Linked DNA regions of Nothobranchius furzeri. The protein of the gene in region 1 purifies or fractionates together with the protein of each later gene. This does not show direct contact. Links are inferred from orthologs where the notes say so. Each region holds a gene or a part of one and is shown in the gene's direction. Other genes may lie near its edges.

Evidence for each region.
Region 2: the proteins of cdk20 (region 1) and fkbp8 purify together in Homo sapiens (affinity purification with mass spectrometry; 5 studies listed by BioGRID and IntAct, with this or other methods). This does not show direct contact. The link is inferred for Nothobranchius furzeri from reciprocal best matches to the Homo sapiens genes CDK20 and FKBP8.

What each region holds. Positions count from the first base shown.
Region 1 is NC_091755.1:47,133,676-47,138,132, reverse strand, and holds the start of cdk20 (cyclin-dependent kinase 20), read left to right. Parts: upstream 1-1,412; 5' UTR 1,413-1,435; intron 1,436-1,738; coding exon of another isoform or gene 1,739-1,824; exon of another isoform or gene 1,825-2,002; intron 2,003-2,364; exon of another isoform or gene 2,365-2,870; intron 2,871-2,950; 5' UTR 2,951-2,985; coding exon 2,986-3,060; intron 3,061-3,151; coding exon 3,152-3,265; intron 3,266-3,694; coding exon 3,695-3,883; intron 3,884-4,083; coding exon 4,084-4,205; intron 4,206-4,435; coding exon 4,436-4,457. Other genes in the region: protein UXT, read right to left, coding at 40-103, 267-374, 513-580, 1,017-1,098, 1,739-1,824. UniProt on the Homo sapiens protein: Required for high-level Shh responses in the developing neural tube.
Region 2 is NC_091748.1:52,427,281-52,431,542, reverse strand, and holds the start of fkbp8 (peptidyl-prolyl cis-trans isomerase FKBP8), read left to right. Parts: upstream 1-1,442; 5' UTR 1,443-1,574; intron 1,575-2,067; 5' UTR 2,068-2,098; coding exon 2,099-2,324; intron 2,325-2,524; coding exon 2,525-2,694; intron 2,695-2,867; coding exon 2,868-2,956; intron 2,957-3,456; coding exon 3,457-3,677; intron 3,678-3,815; coding exon 3,816-3,988; intron 3,989-4,067; coding exon 4,068-4,145; intron 4,146-4,262. UniProt on the Homo sapiens protein: Constitutively inactive PPiase, which becomes active when bound to calmodulin and calcium. Seems to act as a chaperone for BCL2, targets it to the mitochondria and modulates its phosphorylation state.

The sequences.
Region 1 (4,457 bases):
AATATTAAAGAGCTTCAGATCATAGACATAATAACTGACCTCAAGGACCATGCGGATGTTGGCTTTTATTTTGGCGGCGTCTTTAGTGAGTTGCTCTGTGAAGCTGCAAAACAAGCGTTAGCATGGTTAGCATCTTTGGTTCCGAACATTGAGCTAACACAGCACTCGTTCAAACTCCCTCAACTTTATTTAGAACTAGATCTCAGCTCGACAAAAATGAGACGTGTGACAAAAAGTTTGTGTTGTCACGGCAACACAGAGCTCACACTGTCAGCTGACTCGTCTTCTTGGTGATGAACTGCAGAGCTTCATCGTGGGTCATTTCCACGAAGAACCCGAAACCGACCGCCACGAAGATCCTGGACGAGTCGTCTCTGTCCAAAGGAGGGGAACAACGGGTCAGAACCGGGACCAAACACAACCAAACTGCTCAGAACCAGAACCAAACATCTAAAAGAGGTTAAATGTCTGTGGAGGGAGGAGCTGGACACTCTAGAGAGACAGACACTCACACTTGAGCCTGAACATAGAAGCTGCAGCCCAGATCGACGTCTGTCTTCAGCTGCTGGGACTCCGCCTCCTGCAAGAACACGGAGTGACATAACCGCAACGTCATCATCATGATATAAACATATATAAATATATACACACACACAAAATTCTATCACAAACAAACAGGCGTTTCTGATTGACAGCACGAGGCCTAAAGAGCTCAGGTTACTGGTCTGTTGTTGGATCGGGCCTGAACAGAACTCCTGATCCAGAACACACAGCTCCGCTGGATTTTCATCAGCAGTTAAAAGGTTTCCAGAGATTAAAACATGGCGGATGTTAGCTGAAAATATTTCAAACAACTGAAAAAAATCCTAGAGGAGGCCCTATGATCCTCCCAGAGTGATGCCTCCCTCCTTAAAATCTCTCTCTCTCTCTCTCTCTCACACACACACACACACATACACACACACACACACACGCACGCACGCACACACACACACACACACACACACACACACTACCTGCAGACTCTGGATCGTGTTCTTCAGCTGCAGGTACTGGGAGATCTTCTCATAAACCTGGTCTCTCTGCTCCAACACCTTCCTGTCAAACAGAACACCTTCATCAGTGTGTGTGTGTGTGTGTGTGTGTGTGTGTGTGTGTGAGGTGTCAAAATAGAGTATTTGAAATGAGTTTGCAATCATTTTCTGACTGTTCTATTGGATAAGAACCACACCAGGGATCCGTGGTTCTCCAGGACCCACTCTCTGGTTCTCCTTCACTGGATCTTTTTGGTTGGTTCTGATTCCACAGACCAGAACATCATCCGACTCTGTGGACTCACCACCGCAGTTTGACTTTTGTTCTGGTCGCTCAGATGAAGCGTCAACTTCTCTAGCCGGATAGACCCCGCCCTCTGGGGGGCTGCCATGGTAACCAGGTACCAGTCACTGGTCATAGTGATTGTCACAAATGTGTTTAATACAACTTTATGATTTACGTTTAAAGAACTTAACCTGTACTATAATGATCGTGTCTGTAGAGACATAAACATCGCATCAAAACTTAACCGGAAACTGCTTAGATTCATCAGAACCCAGCACCAACTTTTATTTACCTGCTTCAAGCTAGAGCTACCAACCCTGCCCTAACTAAACCAGGATCTGTGAAACTACTCAGAATTCAAAACCAAACAGAGGAGCAGAGCTGAGAAACTAAATCAACTATACGAGTTAAATCGTACCGTAAATCTCTCTTCAGAACCTCGTTGATGAACGTTTCGTACTGCAGAACCTTCCGGTCCACGTTTTCAGCGACAGGTTCCTCCATGCAGCTTTTCAGATTAATAACAACAATAATAACTTCATGCGGATTAATTCAGTTCAGATGAATTTCTGCTCAATGTAAATTAACCGTTTCGGACACAAAAACGTGCCGTTAGCACAGCTAGCATGCCAAGCTAGCATGTAAATAATTCTTTACACCGGAACTAAATCATTGAGTGCCCCCAAATTTTCAAAATAAAGCATGTAGACATAAAACAGATAGATGCATTAGACGAAGACGCTCCAGACTGATTATATATATATATATATATATATATATATATATATATATATATATATATCAAGACTCAAGACAACTTTATTAGTCCCCGAGGGGCAATTCGAGACAGCATTGTGAAGCAGCCGGCACTAAAATCTCTAAATTCTAAAAACACATCCAAATTACACATTTGTAAAACCCATAAAACCTATATACACATTCATGTCATAACCCCATACATATATATTTATATATATATATATATATATATATATATAATTTATTTATTTAATTTTCACTTCTGACTGACATGTGAGTCTTTTCTAGCTGATTTGGATCTGTGTCGTGACTTCCGTTGTCACGTGACCGTAGCTAACGCAGCTCTTGTCTGAAACAAAACGTTTTCAAACGTTTCAGGCCCGAAAACCGGATCTCCTCGCCGCGCTTTCAGGCTTGAACGACTATCAGGAAACATTTCTGCTCGAATTGAAATTATTTCGACGGTTTCATTAAGCCATAGGAGCTAACTTAGCTTAGTGGTGACGTTACCATGGCAACACGAGTTAGCATCCTCTGTAAAATTCGGATCCAATTGAAATCGAGCTGATTTATGTATAATCTCAGAACCCGAATAAAACTTACGACCTTTATTTCAGTTATCGTTCCGTAATATTTCAGAAACGTTGGTGTTTTATTGAACTGAAACGCGCAAAATCGTAAACGGCGTCTTTTGTACACGGAGCTTTGTTTCCGGTCTGAATTCTGGCTCCTGTCGGTCAGCTGGAGGAGGTAAAAGAAGCTCTGGGAGGTGTTTTCTTTCTCAAAAAGAGGTCACCTATATCTTATTTAGTTTAATGTTACAGCTTGAAGTTTTAATGTGGAATCAGATGAAAAATTGGTCTTCCTGCAGAAATCAGCAGACCGGATCAGGTTCTTGTCCCAGACATGGAGCAGTACAGCATCCAGGGTCGGATCGGAGAAGGAGCTCACGGCATTGTGTTCAAGGCCAAACACATTGAGGTACCGATAGCAAAAGATCCAGCCTCTGGGTCTGGTTCCAGGTGCAGAGCAGTTCCTCCTCAGAATGTTCGTCTTGTGCCTTTTCTCTCAGACAGGAGAGACGGTGGCTCTGAAGAAAGTGGCTCTGAGGAGGCTGGAAGACGGCATCCCGAACCAGGCTCTGAGGGAGATCAAGGCCCTGCAGGAGATTGAGGACAACCAGTATGTGAGTGTCCCTCCAGCTGCTTCTGCCCAGTTCAGAGGACAGCGAGGTGTCAGACCTGATGCTACTGAAATGCCACAAACTGGTGTTCGTGATGGTGTCAGAACCACAGTCCTGAATCCACCTGATCTGCAGGCCATTCCTCACAAAGCTATTTGCCAAATTAACAGATTTCCATGATTTTACGTTCTCTATTCCTCCTTCTGAGGAGACGAGGAGGAGCATCACAGAGATCTGGGGGGCTGGTAAGTGCCTGGTTGCCCAGATCTGCTGTTGGTTTTAAGTCTGAGCAGAAATCTGGTTCCATTACAGCACCACACCTGGTGGACCCTCGGTGCTCAGCTTCAGCTGCTTTGATAAAAAAAACCTGCAGATGTTTTGTTGGGAATGATTCAATCTTCCTTTTGGGAACGTTGTCCTGAACTCTTCCAGGTTGTGAAGCTGAAGGACGTCTTTCCCCACGGGACGGGCTTTGTTCTGGTCTTTGACTTCATGCTGTCGGACCTCTCTGAGGTCATCAGGAACCACCAGCGACCTCTGACCCCGGCACAGGTCAAGGGGTACATGATGATGCTGCTAAAGGGCGTGGCCTTCCTGCATCGCAATAACATCATGCACCGGGTGAGTGCACTGCTCACACACACGCACACACACACACACACACACACACACACACACACACACACACACACACACACACACACACACACACACACACACACACACACACAGTCCACGGCCCATAAGGGTTTGTGATTCTGGTTCTGGTGTGTGTGTGTGTGTGTGTGTGTGTGTGTGTGTGTGTGTGTGTGTGTGTGTAGGACCTGAAGCCAGCTAACCTGCTCATCAGCTCCTCGGGTCACCTAAAGATCGCCGATTTCGGTCTCGCCAGGCTGTTCAGCGATCAAGGCGAGAGGCTTTACAGCCACCAGGTGGCCACCAGGTAAGCACAAGCTCCGCCCCTTTTTCACAGCTCGGTCACACAAAAAATTTGTTGATTGAAGATGAAAATTAAAATTTTTGATCTGCAGGAAATAGAGAAAAAAATTGTTTTGTCTTGTGTGTGTGTGTGTGTGTGTGTATGTGTGTGTGTGTGTGTGTGTGTGTGTGTGTGTGTGTGTGTGTGTGTGTATGTGTGTGTGTGTGTGTGTGTGTGTGTGTGTGTGTTTTCAGGTGGTACCGAGCTCCTGAGCTG
Region 2 (4,262 bases), on another chromosome or scaffold:
TATAGAAAAACATGGTTGTCCTGCTTCAGTAAAAAAGGCACTGAATGTCTTTTAAAAACCTGTGTAATCCTTTAATGCAATTTTGGAGGGTTTCAGAAGAAACTGACCCAGAAGCACAAATACCATAAATAATGTTATGTCAACCTAATAAATCCATGCATAAATTATTTTAAAATATTTTAGAAGTGGCTACAATCTTTCTTTTAAGTTTACTGAAACATGTGGCAGCCTAAAGGTGAAACTAATAGAAGCCAAAGATTCAGTTCACGCTGTCAAATGTTTTCAACTATAGAGAAAGGCAATTGGGATTTTGGCGTTGACGCGGGTTTTGAAATTTCATGTTGCAGAGCATGATTAAAAACGTGTCCATATGCTTTGAGAATATTTTATTAACATAATCAAATTGGACAAAATAATGTTACATTTATTTAACATTTACTGCTGGAAATTAACCCGGGCTAAAATAATGCATATTTACCTACATGAAATATGTAAATGTTCATTAGTATGCAATGTCCCTTTACAAATAACAAAAATTCAGTCATCTATTCTTCTTCTTCTTTTTCTTCTTCTTCTAATTATTATTATTATTATTATTATTATTATTATTATTATTATTATTATTATTATTATTATTATTATTATTATTATTATCTACTTTTACCTTTTTAATTAAGGAAAATTACTAGAAACTCCAAACTGCTGTCGTTTCCATGTTAGTGAGGTAAAATATTAACTTGCACCAAGGGGGAGCTCAAGGTTAACAGGAAGCACAGGGCTGAAGTTCGCTTGCTGCTGAACATATCAACACGCGTACTTTTTTTTTATTTTTTGGGTCCTCCGCCTCACAACGACGTGATGGGAATTCCGGCTCTTTTTAGAGAGCCGGTCTTTTTGGCTCAGCTCACCAAAAAGAGCCGGCTCTTTCGGCTCCCAAGTGGCTCCTCACATTTTCTGTTGCGTAGAGTATATTTATAACCAAAAAAAATGCTAAAATATATGTAACATGATTTACTAATGTAAAAAATTGCAATATATAAACTATTTATCATTTGAATGGATTTAATAACTGAACACTTTAAGAAATCTCCACTTTCTGACTGCTGGCGCTCATTTTCTCACCGTCTTTGCCGCACTCTCTCTCTCTCTCTCTCTCTCTCTCTCTCTCTCTCTCTCTCTCTCTCTCTCTCTCTCTCTCTCTCTCTCTCTCTCTCTCTCTCTCTCTCTCTCTCTCTCTCGCCTTTTTCCTCCTCCTCATTCCCTCTCGTCTCCCTCCACCCGCATGTGCTCTGCTGTGTGTCTGAGTCTGATCCTCCCTCTTCCCCGCCCCTACTGCTCTGTGTGTGGACAGTCTGGACACGCAGTTACACATGTTGACCAATTGCCTGTGGCGTTCACCAAAGCAAAAGGGGAGGGGACGGCTCCCAATGACGAGCCGGCTCCCGTCGTTCACTTCAAAGAGCCGGCTCTTAGAGCCAGTTCGTTCACTACCGACACATCAGTACAACGTTGAACTGACTTCACTTTGAGTTTAACGAAGGGACAGCTCAGGACCGAAACAAGCCCACTTGGAGGTTTGTTGTACTTTATTTCGATTAACGCATATACACTTTGACCCACTCTCACTGCATTGACGTGATAAACCCAATGGTTTATCGTATAATAGAGTAAAAACTCGTTATTATCGTTTAGTACCTGTATTGCTTAACCGGCTAATGCTACTTGCATTAGCAGTAGCATGCTAGCCGCTTGGGCATTTAGCTGGAGGAAAACTTGTTAAAACTTCTTGCTAGATTTGTCAGGGCACAACAGTTAACAGGTAGCGTAATAATTAAATTTGCGAAATGTTGCCACATTGTTTGCTAAAATTAAAAATAATAAATAGACGTTAAAGGAGGTGTTGGGTAAACAGTTGTGTAGCTATCATCATGTGACCTATCACAGTGTTTAACGTCGACTTGCACATAGTTGAAGGCTTTTTTTCCTCACTAGGATTCAGCACATACACAGTTTTACTTTTCACAGAAAGTGAATCACTTCAAGCTGTTTTCTGTTTTCCTTAATCAGGTGATGTGCTGAGGACTGAACACGTTTGAGAATGGAGTCTTCAGCTGGACCTCCTGCTGCTAAGAAGCATGGACAAACCTCGTTGCTGGACAGCGGGGAGGACTTTGAGGTGTTGTGTGATGAAGACATTTATGACGACCTTCCTCCTCTGGAAGATGCCGGGGGTGGAAACAGTAAAAAAACAGAAGATGCAGAAAAGAAAAGGGTTGAAGATCCAGAACCTTCTGGCAACATTGATGAATGGCTAGATGTTTTAGGTATGAGGGAAATGTGACAAAACCAGACACATTCTTACAGACAACATGCTAATAGTTTGCATTTGTATGTTGTTTGTATGTTTTCCAAATATTTAGTGGCATTCACAGCAGAAGCTAGAATTCCATTACTGTATAGTTATGAACATTTAATGGTTCCGTTATATGTAACCAATTTTATAAACAGATCTATCTGCTGTTAGGTAACGACCAGCTGAAGAAAAAGGTCCTTGAAGCAGGGAAGGGACGTGACAGTCGGCCTCACAAAGGACAGGTCGTAAAGATCCATCTTAAAACACACTTGATGGATGGTACACTTGCACAGGAGCTATGTGATCTCGCTTTCACTCTGGGAGATGGTGATGTCATCCAGGTAAAGAAAAAGAAAAACTCAGATGATTGGTTGAATAGGTTTTTAATAATATATATATATATATATATATATATATATATATATATATATATATATATATATATATATGTGTGTGTGTGTGTGTTAAATTTGCATGTAAGTCATTAAAGCAAAAAACACTTTAATCTATTTAGGCACTGGATCTGACAGTGCAGCTTATGGAAATTGGAGAGAAAGCACTCATCCAGACAGATGCAAAATACGCATACGGTGTCCGAGGAAGGTAGGAAACATTTTGAAATGCTCCTGAACAGTCTGCCACGTTAGGGCCATTATATCTAGTGTTATTAGTTCAAAATGTAGACATGACTTTCACGTCACAGTTTTCAAACCAGAGATGTTTTGAGGAAATATTAAAGAATTGGACATTGCAGGAGAGAGATGCTCACAGTTGTCCCCGACAGCTGATTGTTGAATTAATGCTTAATGAGTCTGGGATGTTTGTGGTTTCTTCAAAGATTAGAAGTTTTATTAAGCCAACACTTAAAACAATGGTGTGGTGAGGAAGATCAAGCCTGTGGATAATAACAATATCGGTTCATATTTGCTCTGAAGCTATGCCTTTAAAGCTATATTTACCAGTGTGTCTCCTCCTAACACTGTGCTCAGTAAATGTGCCTGCATTTGGTTGCTGAAAAAGAAGGAAACATGACAGTAATATCTGTGAACTGTCTCCTACGGCTGGTGTCCCTGACTCTGTCTCCTGCGTCCTTCACTTCCTAGTCTTGATCCTGACATTCCGCCAAATGCTGAGCTTTCCTTAGAGGTGGAGCTGTTGGAGGCTACAGATGCACCTGACTTGGAGCTGCTTCCTCCCTCGGAGAAAATAGCCCTGGCTGTTCAGAAGAGGGAGAGGGGGAATGTTCACTACCAACGTGGGGATTATGCTTTTGCAGTCAACTCATATGGCGTTGCCCTGCAGATTACTGATTCTTGTTCCAAAGGTAAGAAGCATGTGCAGGAGTCAGGCAAAGCTTTATATTTCCTTCTAAAAGAAAAGATATTAACAAGATACTAACAGTTGATTTTTCTTATTTTGATACATAAGGACTCTTAACTGTTTATCATGTTTCCTTGAGCAGTTGACATCAGCCCCGAGGAGGAGAACGAGCTGTTGGATGTCAAAGTAAAGTGTCTAAACAACATGGCTGCTTCTCAGCTGAAGCTGGACCACTATGACGCAGCACTGAAGTCTTGTGTTTCAGCACTTGAACATCAACCAGAGAATATTAAAGCACTTTTTCGAATGGGCAAGGTGCTCTTTGCTCTGATTCTTTCATGTTGTGTTTCTCAGACTCCTCTAACCTGTTGCCTGCTGTGTGTTTCTGCTTTAGGTTCTGGCTCTGCAGGCTGAATACACAGAAGCCATTCAAACTTTACGGAAGGCTCTGAAGCTGGAACCAAGCAACAAGGTACATTTGGCCTTTTATAAAACGTCTGGTAAACTACACTCACTGGCCACTTTATTGTGTACACCTTGCTAGTACCAGGTCCCTTTTGCCTTCAGAACTGCCTTAATCCTTCGTGGT